4 linked regions of the Mus musculus genome follow. The protein of the gene in region 4 interacts with the protein of the main gene of each other region in a biochemical or structural test. Links are inferred from orthologs where the notes say so. Each region holds a gene or a part of one and is shown on either strand. Other genes may lie near its edges.

What was found.
Region 1: of the proteins of Ppp2r1a (region 4) and Dcaf1, one has a biochemical effect on the other in vitro, tested with the Homo sapiens proteins (2 studies listed by BioGRID, with this or other methods). The link is inferred for Mus musculus from reciprocal best matches to the Homo sapiens genes PPP2R1A and DCAF1.
Region 2: the proteins of Ppp2r1a (region 4) and Akt1 form a complex in vitro, tested with the Homo sapiens proteins (2 studies listed by BioGRID and IntAct, with this or other methods). The link is inferred for Mus musculus from reciprocal best matches to the Homo sapiens genes PPP2R1A and AKT1.
Region 3: the proteins of Ppp2r1a (region 4) and Ppp2cb form a complex in vitro, tested with the Homo sapiens proteins (2 studies listed by BioGRID and IntAct). The link is inferred for Mus musculus from reciprocal best matches to the Homo sapiens genes PPP2R1A and PPP2CB.

Annotation. Positions count from the first base shown.
Region 1 is NC_000075.6:106,873,482-106,878,246, reverse strand, and holds part of Dcaf1 (DDB1- and CUL4-associated factor 1), read right to left. Parts: intron 4,192-4,765; coding exon 3,939-4,191; intron 1,959-3,938; exon of another isoform or gene 1,842-1,958; intron 1-1,841. UniProt on the Homo sapiens protein: Acts both as a substrate recognition component of E3 ubiquitin-protein ligase complexes and as an atypical serine/threonine-protein kinase, playing key roles in various processes such as cell cycle, telomerase regulation and histone modification.
Region 2 is NC_000078.6:112,652,498-112,657,718, forward strand, and holds the end of Akt1 (RAC-alpha serine/threonine-protein kinase), read right to left. Parts: coding exon 5,170-5,221; intron 4,897-5,169; coding exon 4,771-4,896; intron 4,700-4,770; coding exon 4,571-4,699; intron 4,495-4,570; coding exon 4,280-4,494; intron 4,093-4,279; coding exon 4,005-4,092; intron 2,733-4,004; coding exon 2,630-2,732; intron 2,281-2,629; coding exon 2,201-2,280; coding exon of another isoform or gene 2,127-2,200; 3' UTR 1,324-2,126; downstream 1-1,323. UniProt on the Homo sapiens protein: AKT1 is one of 3 closely related serine/threonine-protein kinases (AKT1, AKT2 and AKT3) called the AKT kinase, and which regulate many processes including metabolism, proliferation, cell survival, growth and angiogenesis.
Region 3 is NC_000074.6:33,612,679-33,617,443, reverse strand, and holds part of Ppp2cb (serine/threonine-protein phosphatase 2A catalytic subunit beta isoform), read right to left. Parts: intron 1,995-4,765; coding exon 1,905-1,994; intron 1,779-1,904; coding exon 1,617-1,778; intron 418-1,616; coding exon 299-417; intron 1-298.
Region 4 is NC_000083.6:20,961,709-20,966,925, reverse strand, and holds the end of Ppp2r1a (serine/threonine-protein phosphatase 2A 65 kDa regulatory subunit A alpha isoform), read right to left. Parts: coding exon 5,187-5,217; intron 4,353-5,186; coding exon 4,210-4,352; intron 1,688-4,209; coding exon 1,596-1,687; intron 1,472-1,595; coding exon 1,455-1,471; 3' UTR 1,021-1,454; downstream 1-1,020. UniProt on the Homo sapiens protein: The PR65 subunit of protein phosphatase 2A serves as a scaffolding molecule to coordinate the assembly of the catalytic subunit and a variable regulatory B subunit.

The DNA.
Region 1 (4,765 bases), on a different chromosome or scaffold from region 4:
CTAATTCTAGGGCAAGGTAAGGATGGATGGGAACAAGGAGTGGGAAACACAATGGAATGGTCACAATGAAACCCTGATGCTTGAACCTAAACAGACCATGACGCAGCAGTTCCTCTGAGATAAAAACTCAAGAAGGAAGGCACTGTCTACTCCCCAGAGCCACACAGCACCTGCCCTGCCAGGTGCTTCTGCAGACCCCGAAGGACCCTCTAGTGATAACATTACAGGTGAGCCAACAATGCCAGGCCCACCTGCCTGAGACACACATACCCCAGAATAGACAGGGGCTTCAACCCTTTGCCCAACAGCAAAAAAAAAAAAAAAAAAAAAAAAAAAAGCCAAGACTTCACATCTAAGGACGGAACACCGCTTATCAAACACCACTGCGACCTTCCTCACACCGCAGCCATGGGTCAGATGACAGGGCTCCTTTTATCTACCTGCCCTAGCCTTTTCTCAGCTCCAAATGCTGCAGTGACCCTAACTTGTGGTCAGGACCTCCTATTCTAAAAAGTCTTTGCAGCAAAGGCAAATGAACTATAATAATCCCAGGGTTTTGAGCTGCTGTTGCCCTACAATATCCAGGCTTAAGAGCAAGGGGTCCCCAGAAGCATAGACGAAAAGACCCCTGAAGACAATATGCCTCTCTTTCAAGGACAGGTTTGTATCTGAAGCTATACCCTGCATGACTCAGGAACTGTGCAAAGTCACATGGTGACCCACAGCTATGGTTCTATGAATTTCACCAGACCACAGAAAGGCTCCATAAGTTGAGGAAGGTTGGGTTCCTCCAGACAAGCAGAGTGACGCTTGTAATAACACTTGTAAATGAGGGGTCAGTACAATCAGTCTGCTCCACTGACAGTCATGAGGGATAGCAACATCCACAAAGGACAGACCAGAAAACACAGGGAAGAGCACTAAAAGACAACCTGTAGGTGACAGCTGTGTCTCCACCTCAGAGTGCAAGCAGAAATGTTCAAATGTCATGTATTTTATGTCAGTGTTTACACCCAGGTTATAGTAACAATATTCTTGTAACTTAAAAGAGTTTTCCAAATTACCTTTGCTTTAAGAGAGTTAATTTTTAGAATTTAAGCAAAATTCTGAAAAGAGGGTATACTGTTACCAAATACAAATTGAGAGGGTTTATATTCAAATTAGGAATGGAAAACCTGAAGCTGGGTGTGGTGGCACATGCCTGTAATCCTAGCACTCAGAAAGTGAAGACAGAAGGGTTGGGGAACTTGAGGCCAACCTGGGTCATGAAGCAAAATATGTTAGGCAGCCAGGGCAAACTCAGGATCTGAGAGGACCACGCTGCCCTGTATAATGGAGCAAATCCAAGCACTGTTGGCCGAGCCCTTGTTGGTCACCTGTGTCATAAATAGCTGAGGGCAATGAACCATATGGCCACTGCTGCCCAGGAGTCCCCCTCAAAGAGGCGCTTACATGTCAACTGTCTGCCACAGTAAGACCCAATGTAGAACTTAGAAATATGTTTCATGACCAAAATGTATCATCCCAATGCAAGCAACCTAGGATTAGCTAAAGTATGTGGAAGGCAAGTAGTCCCCAGCACTAGGAATGTGCTATGAAAAGAGCCAAGTCCAAGCCCTAGAAAAAGTTGGAGCACGGATCAGGCTCCTTGCCGTGAGTAACAACAGTTCAACCCCCTCTCATGACCATGTGGGTGTGTCCCTGCTGTTCTGCCAAGACTCCTTCCATTTTTCTTTGTATTTAATGGGTACAGGCTTAGAAACATTACAGAATAAAAAAGCCCAGATATCTTCGCTCCTCTGGTGATTAAATGCACATTAGCACATCTATGTCTCATTTACTGTTGTAAGGCATGAGCAGAAGCTGGAAGTGTCATCTGGATTGTTGGGACACCGTCACTGGTAGCGAGCGGCTCTCTGCTCTCATTCACTGCCCCATCATGGAATAAGTACACAGCCCTGTGAATGAAGGCAGTTGTCAGGGTTAGAGTAGGGGGAAGGAAGGTTTCTCTCTTTTATCTTTGATGGGGAAGTAGTTTTATTTTCATTGTCTAGATTACCCCCTCCCCTTTTCATGGAGACCTCACTGTACTGGTTAAAAGCATGAGCTCGGGTCTTCTGAACTCTGTCTAGCCACTTCTCACTCTAAGTAGGCTTGGGGAGGAAAAGGCCCAACCAAACCAAAATGGAACACCCAATGACAGTACTGCCACCCTGTTATACTCTAACTTTGTTGGGTCTCTCCTTCAAAAGGAGCTTTTGACTAGTCTTGTCTATCTGGAAACTTCTTTAAATCTTGGGTTTTGGTAAAGTATTTTTAATTTCAAAACAAAAAAAGCAACTCAAGTGACACTCCTACAAGTGCAGGTGGCTCCAGCCACCTGCTGTAGACTGAGCCCACCTAACTAACCTGCATTACTAACCTGTTGAAGGGAGGTAAAATTTTGTCTCTAACACCTCACTATTAAAGTTTTATTTAAAATGTCCCTGGGTCCTTATCTAGCTCTCAGAGGTCATGGCCAGGGGTTAACCCACAGAATCATCTCAACCTTTGAATATGATACACCACAGCTAGGTGGGTATAAGCAACCCCACTCTCACCAAGACCTTCTTCAAATATGATAAGAGGACTTAATCAACTGTCAGTCCCAACTCGATAAGCACATAGTGATATTTGTCCGAAAGAAAATGAACTTACATCAGGTAGAGGAGCAGTATTGTGTGCGCACAGTACATGTAATAGAAGTTTCTATATTAAGCACACTGCCACCCACCTCTCCTACCAGGAAGCATGATCATAAACAGGAGGCTGGCTGATAGAGCACCATTAAGTTTGCTTGACCTAGGCCACCAAAATACAACTTTGCCATGATATAAAATGATATAAATGTATGTGTTCTTACTGCTCAGCACGATAGCAACATATGCTACAGAGCAATTGGAAATGAAAAGCTAATTTTTAATTTAATTATATTTCAACAGCCCTCCGTGCTACGTGGCTGCTATTATCAGACACAGCACCTACCATGCCTGTAAGGACGCTGGGTATATATATATATATATATACCAGCTAAGTGAGACAGGAATCACTCTTCACTCAGGCAGGGCAGCGATCAGTATAAGACTCAGGACCGCAGCCAGAACTGCCAACAGTGGCACGCTCGTGGCAACAGAGACATGTCAAGAGTACAATGTTTGCCCAGTCTTAAAGCTGATTATTTGGGAATTCATAACAATGATAGGAATGGCTTCAGAAACCCACCAGTGGGAAATTACTATACAAACTGGAGTTTGTTCTTTAGAGTTCTGAACAAGAAGTGGGGTAGGGTGAAATGAACAAGACAGATGCATTGGTTCCTCAACCTTCAGGAGAGACTGGTCAAAAGCAGCCAGGAGAGGCTCTCCCACACAAGGCCCTTAATCTATACACAGCGGCCACGGAGGCAAAGGAGCCTGTGAAGAGCTGCTTCAAACTGACCTCAGCCAGACCCTCAGGTGACAGCCATGCTTCCACCTTTCTAAGTCCAATACTTTAAAGCTGGAATTCAAAAACTATAAGCTCACTACCTATTTTGTAAATAAGTTTTATTGCAACACAGCTCTAAATATCACTTCATGTTTGGCCTGTGACTGCCTTCTCCTCACTACAGGGGATCTGAGGCTGTGACAGGGCCCACACGACCCAGGAAGCAAAGAAGCACTGCCTTTGTTCTGACAGAAAAGTGTGCAAACCTTCGCTTATGAGTTAAGAGGAGGAGCCACCTGATGGCTATAGAGTCTGACGGGAGAAGAGGCTGACTAATGTCTCAGGGCTTTTCCTCAGGGGCCAGAGTGGAGAGGCAGCAGAACTCAAGCCCAGCTGTCTTCTGGAATGGGTTGGGACAGCAGAAGGACCTGGCCTGGGTGCAGCGGCTCGCCCAGACTCTGCCCTGTACTTACTGTCCCCCAGGATCAGCTCCACCTCCTCATCTGCATCAGAGTCTTCATCTTCCCCCTCCTCTCCCTCCTCTAGAAGGTTTGCTAGCTCCTCATCAGAGGGAGAGAAGTCATTGTCTCCATCCTCTCCTGCATTCTCATTGTTGTCATCCTCCTCCAGTTCTGCCTCCAGCAACTGGTCAGTGTCTAGTTCATCTAAATCATCAGTATCATCATCATCTTCATCATCATCTTCTTCCTCCTGTTCTTCCTCTTCCTGGTGAGAGAGCATGAAGTCCATTAGGAGAAACACAAAGCCGTAATCTGAACGGGCCATATGGTGATTGACTCCTATCAATCAAGGGGACAGAGTAATAAACTGTTAGTAGACAGACTTGTCAGGAGTGATTAGGCACACGTGTTCAAGACATTTGAAAACCCGCTCAGGAAGGATTATTGACCCTCCACAAGGGCATACAGCCCTTATGGCCCTTAAAGAGAAACCCTGCCTCACAGATGTCTCAAGCCACTGCTAACTCTAAAGGACCAGAGGGATTCTTCTTCCTGCATCAGCCAAAGTGAGTGAACTGAGTTCAGACACTGGACAAAGGGTCCTGAAACCTAAAGTCCCACGTTCTAGCAAACAAAGAACACAGCTGCTGAGGTGCCAGCTCCTAAACCCCTCAGCTCATGTACTGGCTCCATCCTACAGAATAGGCAGGTACCTACCAGAGCTGCTAAGTACTCAAGAGCAATGTTTCAACAAACCAGGCACACAAAACAGAGTAAATAGATCTCCCTTTCCTGTTACAAAGTGACAGAGTAGATATAGATAGATAGATAGATAGATA
Region 2 (5,221 bases), on a different chromosome or scaffold from region 4:
TAGATGTCCGCTCTCACCTACAATGATCATGTTGGGCAGCTTTCATGAGTAACAGTGGGCTCAGGAAGAGAGCTTTGCCCACCTCTGTGTTGAGGGCACAACTTCAGGGCTCCCTCCTCTGTACTAGAGACACATACCTGAGGGGTCTTGTGGAAAGAGCAGCCTGTAGCCGGCCCAGCCCTGGCTTTAGCTGTGTTTGTTTCTACGTTTCAGCCACTTTAGGTAAGATTTAGTGCTAAGTCTGAGGGCCACAGAAAGCACTACAGTCCTTATTTCCTTCCTTCCTCCTTCCCTCCCTCTCTTCCCTCCTGACTGGATCTTGCTACATTGACCTTGCTGGCCTTGAACTCAAGTGCTAGGACTAAAGGTGTTTACCCAGCCGGTGTTGTCTATAAATCTTACTTCAAAGTCAGTAAGTGCTGGGCAGTGGTGGCGCACGCCTTTAATCCTAGCACTTGGGAGGCAGAGGCAGGCAGATTTCTGAGTTCGAGGCCAGCCTGGTCTACAAAGTGAGTTCCAGGACAGCCAGGGCTATTCAGAGAAACCCTGTCTCTAAACAAACAAACAAACAAACCCAAAGTAGGCAATGCTGTGTACGGTTCCAGAGGGCTTGTGGTCATCTAGAGAAAATCTTTGGCTGTTATAGAAGTGGATATTCTTATTTTCCAGAGGTCCAGATCATCACCCACCCTAACTTTGCAGGAGTCAGACACCATCCCAGCAAGGCCACCAGCCACTAGGCTCTGTATATGTGTAGTCCATGCCTTAGGGGAGGCCATCTGGCTGGAGGCCTCTAAATGTTTTGCTGAGCAGTTGCTGTTGCTTGCTGCAGTTCCACCAGTAGTCACCAGGTGTCACCAGCAACATACTCAGTATATCTTGGTGGCGGCTTGGACTCAGGATCGCAGACACTCTAGAGTGACCTTGGTTCCTGTCACCTCTGTCCAGACCCAGAACAGTCCCCAGTTCTGTTCAGTCACAGATGTGCTATGTCACCTCAACCAAAGCCTCCTGAGCCTTTTTGAACTGTATCGCCAGCGCATTATCCTTCCTGGTATCAGGGCCTGGCTTATTGCTCTGCCAGACACACGACAGCTGGGGCTGGCAGGTGTCTTAGATGGCCAGGGAGGGTCACTGCAAGAGTAGACTCCAGAGACAGTCAAGATCCTCCCACTTCTGTCAGGAGTGTCCTGCCATGAGGACGACATCCCCTGGAGCCTCAGGGACCAGTTCCCAGGACCCACCCTGATGTGACCCCAGCCACACCCCTTCACCTCCCACCCACTAACAAGGCTGTGACGCTCCACACCAGAAAGCAAACCACAAGCTTGAAAAGCAATTTTTATTGAATTTGGAGGGACAGTTTCTTATTATAATAGTAAAAATGCTGAAGCTGAATGTTGTAAAAAACGACATGGTGCAGCAATGGCCAGCGTCTGGCCGGGAGGGGACAGGCCAGGGTGACGGACAGCGGGAGAGGGAAAGCATCTAAAAGGACAAGTGCTAGGAGAAGGGCTCACGTGAGGCAGGCGCTCCCAGGGTACCCGCTAAGAGCCACCACGCGGGAGCGGGTGCGGGAGGGCAGGGGCTCTCCTGTCACCAAGATTAAAATCCCCTAAATGTCTCTGAACAGCATGGGACACAGCAACAAACTGGATTCTTGTTCCTCTGTCAACCTCACTTGAGCCCTGGCCATCCCATCCAGCCCTAGGGCTGAAGCAGCTGTGACCTCTCCCCGCCCAGAGGGAGAGGGCCAGTTAGCATACCACAGGGGGGTGCTTCTGGTGCCTTCTTGCTGGACTTTGGCCCTGGACCCTAGAGACAGGTGGCGGCCAGGGTGGACAGGCCAATGGGGGCAGTGACGGGACCCACCCAGACCCATGAGCCCACATTGCACATGGTCGCGTCAGTCCTTAATAGTTTTCTACATGAATCTAATTGTTCTGGGCACTGAGGCCACATGTGTGGTCTCAAACTGGATGAAATAAATTAAGAAAAACCCCAGGATAGTTTTCCTCCTGACCTGGCTGGGAGGTAGGCTGCTGCCCACAGTAGAAACATCCTCCCCTGGTCCTGGAGGCTGGCAAGGTTCCTCCCCAGCGCATCCGAGAAACAAAACATCAGGTTCAGATGATCCATGCGGGGCTTCTGGACTCGGCAATGCAGAGGAGCGTGGAGCTGCCAGCCGCTGCCCCAGGCCTCAGGCTGTGCCACTGGCTGAGTAGGAGAACTGGGGGAAGTGCGGCCTCCGCTCACTGTCCACACACTCCATGCTGTCATCTGTGGGCCACAGGAGGGCTCAGACCATCTCTAGAAACAGCCCGCCCACCTGACACATGCCAGAGGATACAAGGGGGCCCTGTGAGGGGGCAGTGACTCTGGCCCTCAGAACACTCCCTCCCTCCCCGCCAAGCTGCTACCACCCTCCAAAGGGTTTGTTTGATTCTTTTAGTTTTGGGGCTGAGAGAGAGCTTAGTGGTTAAGAGCACTGGCTGCTCTGGTAGAGGACCCGGGTTCAGTTCCAGTGCCCACGTGGCTACTCACAACCACCTGTTAACTCCAGTTCCCCCCCAAAAAAAGCAGGAGTGCAAGCCAGACACTGAGGGGCCATGGAGTGGGGTGGCCTCACCTTGATCAGGCGGCGTGATGGTGATCATCTGAGCTGTGAACTCCTCATCGAAATACCTGGTGTCAGTCTCAGAGGTGACCTGGGGCTTGAAAGGTGGGCTCAGCTGAGGAGCAACAGAAGGCCTGGTTACTACTGGGTTCCAATCCCTCCATCCTCTCTGGGCAATACTGACCTTATCGGGTGGGCACTAGCACTAGGGAACAGCTCTAGGAGATGGAACTGGGTAGGGCAGTGTAGGCAGGGGAGAGCAAGCCCAGAGATGCCCAAAGTGACGAGAGGGTAGTGACTGCCCACCTCCAGGCAGTGGGAACTCCGTTCTCTGGTTGTCATTTCCCTTCTGAGTTTTTTTTTTTTTCTTCCCTTTCCATTTTTTGAAACTGGGGTTCTGTGTAGCCCTAGGAACTACCTCTGTAAACCAGGCTGGCCTCAAACTCAGAGATCCACCTGCTCCTGCCTCCCAGGTGCTGGGACTAAAGGCACACAGTGGCACCACCACAGCTGTGGCAGGACTCAAAGCAGTCTTCAGGTGAGCTCGCCTGCCTCACTGACAGCCCATGAAGAAGATAAGCTGCAGAGTGGTGTATGCACTGGAGGCTGCTAACATCCTTTTGGGTCTCACAGGCAAGGACCCTCAATTGCCATCCCTCCCAAATCTGGTGTGAGGGCAATGCGGACTTCATGGGATCTCTAGTTGAGTGTGGGCAGGAAAGGCATGCCATCCACACCCCCACATGCTGCTGGCCCCGTGTTATCTAGAAGGTACACTCAAGGCAGGGGGTAACAGGGCACCCAACACATCAAGGTAGAGTGTTGAGACCACCTGCTGTGTCCCTCATCAGCCTGGGCCAGGGGTACTTAGGAGCTGAAGAGAATCACACTTAGGGGTGAGTACAAGGGGCTCTGCTCTCTGCAGTGGCCTACACTGTGCCAGACGGGCAGGGGCCGTCCCAGAATGGGATTAGGCTCGCCCTAGAGTTGGAGACACCTAGACATTACCCCCCACCCTCGGCTAGCTTTCATCATAGGGCACATGAGGCGATCTCCAGGCAAAGGACAGGAGCAAGCAACAGGTGTAGGCAACAGGGGCACAATTGAGGGCCTGGAGAGGCCAGGTGACTGTGCGAGGTATGCAGGGCAGCATACTACCCTCTTCTGTGCGAGCGAGAAGGCTGTGCACAACCCTGTGGCTCTGTGGGGGCATGTGACTACACAAGGCTGTGGGCCCAGCATGCGTGTCTGAGCCAGCAAAAACAGGAGTGTTTGCATGTGTGCACACATGTGATCCAGAGATGGGCACAGTGGCCAGAGTGAGAGTGTTTATATGTATGCACACACGTATGTGATCCAGAGATGGGCACAGTGGCCAGATGCACACCTTCTTCTCATACACATCCTGCCACACGATGTTGGCAAAGAACCGGTGCTGCATGATCTCCTTGGCATCCTCGGAGCCCCCACCGAGCCTGTGGGTAGGAGACAGGTCCAGGGCTCAGACACTGCGTGCAAGGTGACAGGTCACGGGGATACTCGCAGGGTAGGGATACCCCTAGCTGCCTGACCACCCCACCCGACATGTGACTGAGACTGTGGCGGGTACAGTGGGCAGCAGCACTGTCTAGAGGCTGAGCCTGAAGCCCCGGCAGCCCTTACCTCTGTGTAGGGTCCTTCTTGAGCAGCCCGGAGAGCAGGGACTTGGCCTCAGGGCCGAGTGTGCGCGGGAAGCGGATCTCCTCCATGAGGATCAGCTCGAACAGCTTCTCGTGGTCCTGGTTGTAGAAGGGCAGGCGGCCACACATCATCTCGTACATGACCACGCCCAGCCCCCACCAGTCCACTGCACGGCCGTAGTCGTTGTCCTCCAGCACCTAGATGGGGGACTCTGTCAGCGTTGTGTCGGGGCGTGGGAGGATGTAAGGGAACACACAGGAAGTGGCAGAGCACCTCAGGGGCCAGGTACTCCGGCGTTCCGCAGAATGTCTTCATAGTGGCACCGTCCTTGATCCCCTCCTTGCACAGCCCGAAGTCCGTTATCTTGATGTGCCCGTCCTTGTCCAGCATGAGGTTCTCCAGCTGTGTGGGAAGGCGCTCAGTCAGTGAGGCCAGACCCCCCAGCCCCCACCCGCCCTGCTCCATAAGCACACCTTCAGGTCCCGGTACACCACGTTCTTCTCGGAGTGCAAGTAGTCCAGGGCAGACACAATCTCCGCACCATAGAAGCGGGCCCGGTCCTCGGAGAACACACGCTCTCGAGACAGGTGGAAGAAGAGCTGTGGGGTGGAGCGCGCTGAGGAAGGCCTGTGTGAGGGCCCGCCAACCCTTACCCACAGGCAGAGGGAAGGTTAGGAACTAGCCCCCAAAGAGAACTGGAGACTGCGAGACTCCAACTCAGCAGAAATAAGACATCCCCAAACGAGCAGCTACAGGCTCACATGGCCAGGGCTGGCAGCACCAGTGATCTGTACTACAGAGAGGGTTCAAAGCTCTCAGAGGGACAAGTTCACCCATCAAGTGCCCAGGTCTGAAGCTGCCTGTGGCCCTACCTCGCCCCCGTTGGCATACTCCATGACAAAGCAGAGGCGGTCGTGGGTCTGG
Region 3 (4,765 bases), on a different chromosome or scaffold from region 4:
GTATAGCCCTGGCTGTCCTGGAACTCACTCTGTAGACCAGGCTGGCCTCGAAATCAGAAATCCTCTTGCCTCTGCCTCCTGAGTGCTGGGATTAAAGGCATGTGCCATCACGCCCGGCTTCCTGTCTCTTTTCATACATGCATGTGTGTATGAGTGTATGCACACATGTGTGCAGGTATCTATGGAAGTCATACTAGACTGTAGTTAAGTGCTCTGAGCTGCTGAGCCACCTCTCCAGCTCCCAAGGCTATTTTCCTCTAAAAGTCATTACATACAATTAAAATGTAAAGTTACTTACAATGAATATTTTAAAGTGTCATCTAATTCCATGATAGCAGCCTGGTTCCCACAACGGTAGCAGTAATTGGGCGCACTAAAAATGGTGACCACATTCCGATCATGGCACCAGTTATATCCCTGCAACATTAAAAAGGTCATTGTTTCATTATAAAATCCAATTTTGACAGATCAAGTCACAAATACTTCGGTGGCTATGTTACCTTTTATAATCTAAGTTTATGCAACTGTTCAGACTTTTAAACATTTATTAGGTACAAGATTCTATTATATACCTCAGTAACCATACAGCTTTTCTTAACCTACACTTAAGATTTTAACTTAGAATATACACTGAATTTCTCAGAAAACCATAGTAACTTCCCCATTTTCCTTCATAAACTTTGCTAAGTATTTTATTTTATTTTGAGAAAGAATTTTGCTATTTAGACTACCCTGTTCTCAAACTTGCAATTGCCCCAGCCTCCCAAGTGCTGAGACATGATAGAAATGAGCCTGGCTTCTAAAGTTTGCTACTAAGTTTGCTTGAAACTCGTATTAGGCAAATACCAACTTAGAATATGCTCTCCCAGAGAGCTGAGCCCATGCTAACCAGCCATCTTGACAATCACATTGTCACCTGTGTCAGAGCCTCTGCCTTCCATCACTCGTGATGTTGGGTGGTGTTTACTTGACACATAGCACACCATTCTCATCTTTGTTATGTTAAATGTTTCAGTTTTGCCTCAAATAGCTGAAATTTGATTATTTTCTAATTTTGGAGTCTCAGGACTTTTAGGAATGTTAAAGCTTAGTCAAATTTTTTCTCCAAAAATATTATCATCACTGACATCTGTGCTTGCCAGTATAATGAAGTTTAATGTCACTTCGTGTATGTGCTTTGCATCCTGCCCCTACCCCACTCCTCGCCTGCTCTAGGCTGGTGAAGTTTGTTCTACCTTCTTAAAGCCACTACTTGCTGGTTAGAGGGACTCCGTTCTCGTTTATTCCTTTCGTAGTGACAACACTAACACAACAGGAGAAATCCAGCAATTGCTACCTCAACTGAGTGGTCACGGAATAGAACCAGCAGTGGACAAACAGCTTTCAAACCTCCTTGGTGAAATGTAGCAAGGACACACACAGCAAGCACACTCCTCAGTGTGCTCCTCTAAGCAGCATGGAGTCATCATCTCACTGAGCTCAAGTCTCTACTGAGCGCCTTCTGGAAGAGCAATGTGCTCTTAACTGCTGAGCCATCTCTCCAGCCCCTACTGAAGGTATTATGAAGCCTTATGACGGGTGCATGCGTACACCACGAGAGCAGGAAAAGTACATACTTCCATTACAAGCTGGTGAGCACGAGACACCAGTGTGAGACCGTTGGCATGGTTAAATGTTTCAGAAATGTCTTGTCCAAATGTGTAGCCAGCACCACGTGGAGAAATGCCCCAGCCGCCACGGTCATCCGGATCTGACCATAAGAGATCACACATTGGGCCCTGGATAAGGAGAAAGAATATGTGTGCACTGTGAGTTAGGATACTTAATTGAGTTACCCTTCCCATATGTGATTACACTTTTTTCTCCCTTAAAATCAAAATAAATGAAGTAACTTCGAAAATCACCTCATGTGGAACTTCTTGCAAGCGATCCAGGGCTCTTATGTGGTCCAGTGTATCTATGGATGGAGACAGGCCACCGTGGAGGCAGAATATCTGTTTTTCAATTGAGAAGAAAATGGTTTTGTTTTTATAATTGCTAAATTAATGAACAGTTAAGTAGCGGTTGCAAAGGTTAGTCATGACAGCTTTTTCTTTTTCCAAATGGTATCATTAGCTGAAAGATCTGTGAACTACAATGCAAAGCAGAGTCCAATCACCAGCAATAACCTCCACAGCAGTTCCCGTGCTCAGGGTTCTTCTCTTCCCCGGCTGCGGTCCTGGGGATGGGAGGGCCTTCCACACGCTCTAGTCTGAGCCGCACTGTGGTGTCTGCACAGTGCGTCTGCTGCACAGGGCGCTCGCTCACCACCCGTCACTGTGTTTGCGGTCACACACCTGGTTTCTTTCCCAACATTAACATCCTTCTGATTCCCATTATAGATTACAATATAGATTTACTGAGCACATAACCACTATTACATATACTTTCCCTATATAGTGTATCACCTGTAATTCCTTTACACACTTATTTCTCACTGTATGATGTGTAGAGCCCACCTAACAGAGATTGGGGCAGCTTTTGGGGTTCTCTCTCTCCTTACACTTTACTTACCGAGTCACCTCTCCTGCACACCTGCTAAGTGCATGTAATTTGCAGGTCTACATGTTAGTGGGTGCACATGTATGTGCAGGCCTAAGGTTGGTACTGTTTGCCTCGGATCACTCCACCTGACTCACCAGAGCCTGCTGCTGTGGTTAGACAGCTAACCATATCATCCCATCATCGAGAGAGGGGTCACAGGTGGGCGCTGTGCCCTCCATGGCTGCTAGGTATATAAACACCAGCCTTCATGCTTGCAAAACAGCTACTTTATGTGTTTACAAATTAGGAAAAAAATGTTGGTCGCCCCCGGCCACCTCCCAGTTGTCTTTAGTTCCCTTTACTATAGAGTGTATCTACAGGACTTCTGGCAGAAAGTGGGATAATATAAGCATTTAAAATTTTTTTCTTAGGACTATCCTCTGATTATTCAAGGACTATACTATGAATCAAAGAGAATAATGAATATTTTAGTGAACAGTTTCATATTTGTTCACTGACAGGGTCAATGGTGTATACAGCCCAGGCTAGCTTAGGAATCAACAATTCTGCCCAAAGCTCCTGAATGGATCTATATGACCCTAGCAGTCTTTTCTCCTGAATAGATCTGTATGACCATATCAGCCTTTTCTCCTGGCTCTGCTCAAGTTTGTAATGGGTCCCTAAATAAAGGAGACAGTTAATGGATTTTCTAAAAAAAATTAGCACTGAAGTTTAAATCACAGATATAGACACACCCCCCCCCCGCCCCAATTGGTTTTATCTTTTTGTGCTTGCTATATTTGGTTGACTATTGAACTTACACATTAAGCATAAGGCTTCAGTTTTATTTTATATTTTGATTTTGGAGACAGAAGCTCTATAATCCTGAGTGCTGGGATTACAGGCAGGTACATCATGTCCATCGATGAGGATTTTGAGGTTTTCCACCCCCCCAAGCTCCATGTTTCTTAAAGGCTCAGCAGATGCTGTGAAGCCTGACAACTTCACTCTGATGTAGGCCAACCTCCCTCCCTCCCCCATAAACAAATATATATAAAAATCCCCCAAACCACCACTGCCACAACAAAGCAGATCTGATGCTAGATGGCCCAGCCAGTCAAGATCTTGCCATATAGGCAACTGAGCCCCAGCACCGATGTAAAAAGCCAGGCTTGACAGCACTGCATGGAAGCTCAGTGGAGACACAAGGCCGTCTCTGACCAGGCCTGCTACCTGAATCGTAAGCTCCAGGTTCAGTGAGAAACCCTGTCTCAAAAAGCAATGTGCAGCCGAGAGTGGTGGCGCACGCCTTTAATCCCAGCACTCAGGAGGCAGAGGCAGGCAGATTTCTAGTTCGAGGCCAGCCTGGTCTACAGAGTGAGTTCCAGGACAGCCAGGGCTACACAGAGAAACCCTGACTCAAAAAAAACATAAAAAGCAATGTGCAGATCAACCGAGTTACGACAGCTGCTTCCAGCCCCACGTGCTTGTCCCCACACACTGCACACACGATATTTACATCTGGTTTCCTAGGTCCCAATATACTGAACACTATGAAGGACCTAAGCCTGTCACTTCCTTCCAGGACCCTGTGTACCATTTGTTTTCTCTACTTGATTTCTGAGGTGTCTTCCAGTAATAACATTTAATAAATGATAACCTGTCACAATGGTGTGTGTAGGCTGGCTGTTTTGTTTCTTATAAATATTTCAAAAACAGTAAAGGCTGATGAGTTTGGGGAGTGCTGATTGTATAAGAAATACATAAAAGTTCTACCAATGTATGAACCAAATTTTAAAATTAGATCTACCACCAATACTATTACTATTATCTTTCTAAATGAATTTGTTCTTTAAGGCTAATAAAGACTGTTACTTGAACAATTTTAATTGAAATTTAACAACTTATACATTTACAAGTTAGCAAGTATAGGCAACGTATTGTCACTACAATTATTGCAGCATCCAAACTCACGGCTGGAAAAATATGGACTGTTATAATTAAATTATATTCTGACTTGCAAGCCGAAGAGTATCTGTTACACCTTCAAGAACACTGGGTAGCCCTGTCAGTACTGGAACTCACTCTGTAGACCAGGCTCGCCTCGAACTCAGAAATCCGCCTGCCTCTGCCTCCCGAGTGCTGGGATTAAAGGCGTGCACCACCACGCCTGGCCTGTATAATGTCTTATGTATGCCGCAAAACTTACTATGCTGGGAACAGAGAACCCCTTGATAAAAAA
Region 4 (5,217 bases):
AGATCCCACCCAGCTAAGTATTTTCTTGTTGTTTATACTTAAAAATGCAGGCAGATTCCTGAGGTCAGGGTCAGCCTGGGACAGAGCCAATCTAAATTTAGGTCTAGTCATGGTGGAAATGATAATCTCAGGATAAGGTTTCACCCAGCTAAATTTACAAAGACAGGCAGATCTCTGAATTCTTTTGCAAAAAAGGAGAAAAAAATAAATATATACTTGCTGTCCTTTGCTTAAAAGCCAAGGGACTACGGTCATGGAATGCTGATTCGTGGTATGTTCAAGAAAGAACCTGGAATAAATAACTGAGTTGATATGGAAATTTAAAATAATGGGCTTTTGGTCTGCATGATGAGCTAGCAGATTGTATAGCCCTGGCTGTCCTGGAACTCACTTTGTAGATCAGGCTGGCCTCGAACTCAGAAATCCGCCTGCCTCTGCCCTCCAGAACTTTTTTTATACTAAGAGCTGAGCTGTCTGTCTGGAGATTCTCTGGGAAACAAAAACAGCTCTTCTAAGAAATTTTTTAAACAGGATTTCTGATTTTGGTTGGAAAAATCTATGGAGAGAGAACATGGTGGTGCCTGGCTGGTTCTATCTTCATAAAGACTTCCTACAAAGCACTGGTGTAGGTGTGTGCGGAGACTTTTCACAGGGCCCTAACCAAATCTCCTGGTAGGCAGGCTTGGCCTGCAGAGCTACATATGGATTCACCACCCAAAGTGACGGCACAGGAAATGGGGAGCTCCACACACACTCACAGGTGCTATCTCAGTTATGCGGTCCAAATCTGAGAACTCTGCTCTGCCAGTGCCTGAAAACCTGAACTGCATCACAGGACATTGCCCTGAGCAGTCTCTGGATACTGCTGTGTCTCCTGCTGCCCTCCTGCTGGATCCCAAGTGCACGCTCTTGTGATAGCAGGAGTGACATCTGCAGGAAGGTCTCCTCAGAGAAAGCAAAGAACAAGCCACAAGGCAGTGGGCTTTCCTCCATTCCGATTACTAAGACTAGAGAACCAAGTATTTCTACACCTTTATTTCTCCGTGTACAGTAGGGAAAGGAATAAAATAAAAATGGCACAATTGACACACAAAAAACATGGTTGGGGTTGGGAAAGGGTGGTGGTAAGTAGATGGGGGAGGGGTCCCCATTACAGCAGCAAAAGCCAGTGACCTAGGATGCTCCCATCTCTCCCAATATGGGCAGGAACAACCAGCCCTTCTTTTCAGGCTGCTGTCCTGCAACAACTTGTACTGCTCCAGCCCCTTGGGAGGTGGACAGAGAAGTCTTCCCAGGCTACAGAGGAGGAACCGAACCGTGCTGGGGGAGGAGCCTGGGGTCAGACCATGCACAGGGAGTGACAGTCATTTGCCCCCACCACCTCCCTAAGGGAGGTAACTTTGTGGGGGTTGGAGGGTGGACACCAGAGGCCGGCAATGCTTCTTCTTCCAGCATCAGGCAAGAGAGAGAACTGGGGAAACAAGAACAATACGCCTCAGAACCACACCACATTCTCCAACCACATTTCTGAGTGCTGCCCCATTCCCCGGAGCCCTCACCCTTCTGCCAGAGGCTCTACACTCTCAGGCCCTTACCAGTCAGAGCCTCCTGGGCAAAGTACTTGACATCCACATCCTGGTCCTGGGTCAGCTTCTCCAGGATGGGCTTGACTTCACTCTGCAGGGTGCTGGAAAGTGAAGGGAAAAGAAGATAGTGAGATAGTCTTGCCTTGGATGGATGGATGTGTGTGTGTGTGTGTGTGTGTGTGTTCGGGGGTGGGTGGGGTGGAGGAGTTGTGCCCACAGGTAGAAAGAGGGCTCCGGTGAAGGTAAGTATCAAGACAGGAACACACCAAATCATAAGGCAGAGTATAGAACATGAACACACAAAGCATACACATGGAAAATTCCTGATCTCTAGGCTTGTAATCAAATAGTTAAGCAGGGAAAGCTCTTGGGTTAGCACAGGACATGAGCAAGTCTGACAAAGTAGAGCCCACAGGCCTTGAAGCTGAGCAAAAAGATTCCTTTAGTGACTGAATCCATGTTCACTGAGGTATTGTATACTTAGTATGAATACAAAAATATATCACTCTAGATTCTTGCTCAGATAAGCCAAGACTACAAGACAAGGCCAGTAAGTGGCAAGATGATCAAAGGCTTCTTGGTTTTAAGGGGCCTAGAAGTGGCATATACTCTTTATGTAAGGAGACATGGAGGAATATGCCTATCCTGTAAGGAAGGAAGACAGACCTTGGAGAGAAAGGCTGTGGAGCAACTATGAGACACACAGGCATCAAATGTTGGCAGACCGCTCCTCTATCCTCCATATAACCACTGTCTTCATTTCTACCTCCTAGAGTTATGCTTTTGTTGTTATTTGCTTGCTTGCTTTGTTACTTTTTGGGAAGCAGGTCTTTCTATATAACTTTATGTTATCTCAAGCTACATATCCCATCCTGGTCTACAACTCGACCCTCAAGCATCAACCACCAGAGTGTGCTGGGAATTCAGCAGCTGCCTACCACTGTGCCTAGCATTTTGACTTTTTCCCTCGAATATTCTTTCTGCCCCCCAACCCCCCCCACCCCGCACTCTTTGCATTCCTCTTCCCTGCTGTGTGTGTGTGTGTGTGTGTTTGTGTGTGTGCGCCCAGGCACATGTGCATGTGAATGGACACCATCTGTATGTCTTCAGAAGCCCGAGATGGGAACTAGAATTAAAAGCATGAGTGATCTTAAGTACACATGATGTGAGATAAGTCCAGGCCCTCTCAAGAGAAGCTAGTGCTCTTAACCCCTGAACCATTATCTCTCCAGACCCATATTAACTATTTTAACTCATACTCTGTACCAGCATTTGGATTATTCTTTCTTATGATTATAATATATAAGCCCACCACATTTTCAAGGGGTTGAGGGGGTAGCAACACTGAGTACTGTCTAAAAGCAAGGGCTGGATTAGGGTCTACATCTAGCTAGCTGGATCCTTCCAGTTAAAATGCTCATCCTATCTGCACTACAATTCCCATAGCACGATGTTCAGCCGAGTATTTCAGCTGTAACCTGTGCTATGTTAACAGCGTACACTGCAGAGCACCTAGTCGATGTCCTCACTGAGCATGTGAAGACAGTACTTTTAAACTGAAACAAAAGCACAAGTTACCTCATTCTCATATTTTCACATATATTAATTTTGACTACCTTCCTTCCTCCCCTCTCTCAACCCTACTTGTAGCTCTCATCTTCCCATACTCCCACTTGAATGTCATATGCCATACTTTCCTCTATGTCTTCTTCCCATGTGTATCATGGGAATTCTTTATCTTCCTATATATAGGATACTAGAGGAGTTCTTTATATAGAAACATCTCCACACTGTCAGGTTAGCCTTCTGATACACAGCTTTTCATTTTCTTGAGGGCCATCTTATCAATCACTTCTTTTGGCATCTTAGCAGGTTTATGTCCAACTCAAGACATGAAGACATTCTATATTTTCTACATGTTTTATTCATCATGCTGGTTCTAGCTCAAAAACTAATTTGTTTATGTAGAGGCAGAAATTCTGTTTGGGTTTATGTGGGCAACCAACTGATCCAGTCAGTTTTAGAAGACAGACACTTAGCCATCAAACTACAATGGTACCAGAGTGCTCTAGAAAATATTCTAGTGAGACATGAATATCCTGTCCCTGCCCCATGCTGTTTCTAAATTATGTGTCAGGTAGACTTGAGGTGCATAGTTTTGTTCTTTAGGATGTATGGGCTAGCCAAGCACTCTGCATTCCCAGGCCAGTTCCTACTAAAACTCTGCTGATATATAATGGCCTCAAATATAAGTACAGGGAATGAAGACTATATGTTTACCAAAGCTTCCTGTGGCAGTGCTTAATAGTTTCCCTAGAAATGTTAAGTATATTTCATTACATGTATTTTTTTTTTCTTCTTGTTTTTTGAGACAAGGTTTCTCTCTATAGCTCTGGCTGTCCTGGAACTCATTCTGTAGACCAGGCTGGCCTCGAACTCAGAAATCCACCTGCCTCTGCCTTTCTTTTTTCATTGTACTCTAGAGAAATGAATTCTTATTCTAAAACAGAGAAGATAGACTTTGTGGAGAGGAAAGAACAGGCATGGGTCACAACGCATAAAGAAATCAGACCCTGAGTTCTGTCTTTAAATATCTAAGATGTTTAGAACCCCCAGACCTCACCTGTTATCAAGAATGGGTCCTATCTTCTGGAGTGACTTGGCCACATTGAAGCGGACATTGGCAACTGGGTCCCCTGCCATACGAAGAACTGTGGGCAGCATGTGCTTGGTGGTGATATCCTGTCCACAGACCTCAGACAACACCTGAAAACCAGTGAATGGCAGAAGTACAGTTATGCAAGGCTTACTGCTAAGTCCCCATATATCTTCTTCTGAATATGCTGCCTGAGTCATCATCAGGACCCAGGAGCAACATGGAAGGGTATGGGTCTAGAAGCATGACTGTGGGGAGTTCTAAAATCCCTAACACAGTCTTCACTGGGGATGTTTCAGACTTTATATCTGGACTTCCATCATTCTCAGCATTTGAGAGGTCTGGATTTCTATCCCCTGAAATGCCACCTTCATAACGGAATCTCGAAATTGTAGCAGAGGAAATAAGCAAAATGTTTACTTAAGATTGTTTCTAACCCATCTTTAGCTTCTAGCTTGTGTAGGATTTACATGTCACTAAACAGTATAAGAAGTAAAACACAACTAAAAATGAGTAGTAAGTATATTCTGACACAGAATCAGAACTGTTCTATGCTCTCTATTATTACATTATTTTTCACATCCTGTTGAAAACCACCATAAATCTCAAAAGATGAGAAAACCAAACTACTAACTGGTTAGGTCCTATGATGTGTGACAGAAGCATGTGTTCTCCTTCCCAACCAGTAGAGGTGCACAGAATATGAGGCTGCTGCTCTCATACAGAAGCCTCCCAAACTTGGATCTCTCACCATGCAATCTTGGCCCTGTAGAGACCCGATCAAATACTGCAGATTCAAGCATTAGCCTGCAGTCCTCAGAAACTTATCCTTAGTCATGTTTCTATTCCCAAGCCAAACATCTGGGTAGACAAAGGGTCTTCCTCCACCTTCACATCAGCAGCACTCCCGTTCCCTGGGATCTATAGGCAGTTGGGGTGCTCACATTGATGCAGAAGAGTGTAGTCATTCGGTGC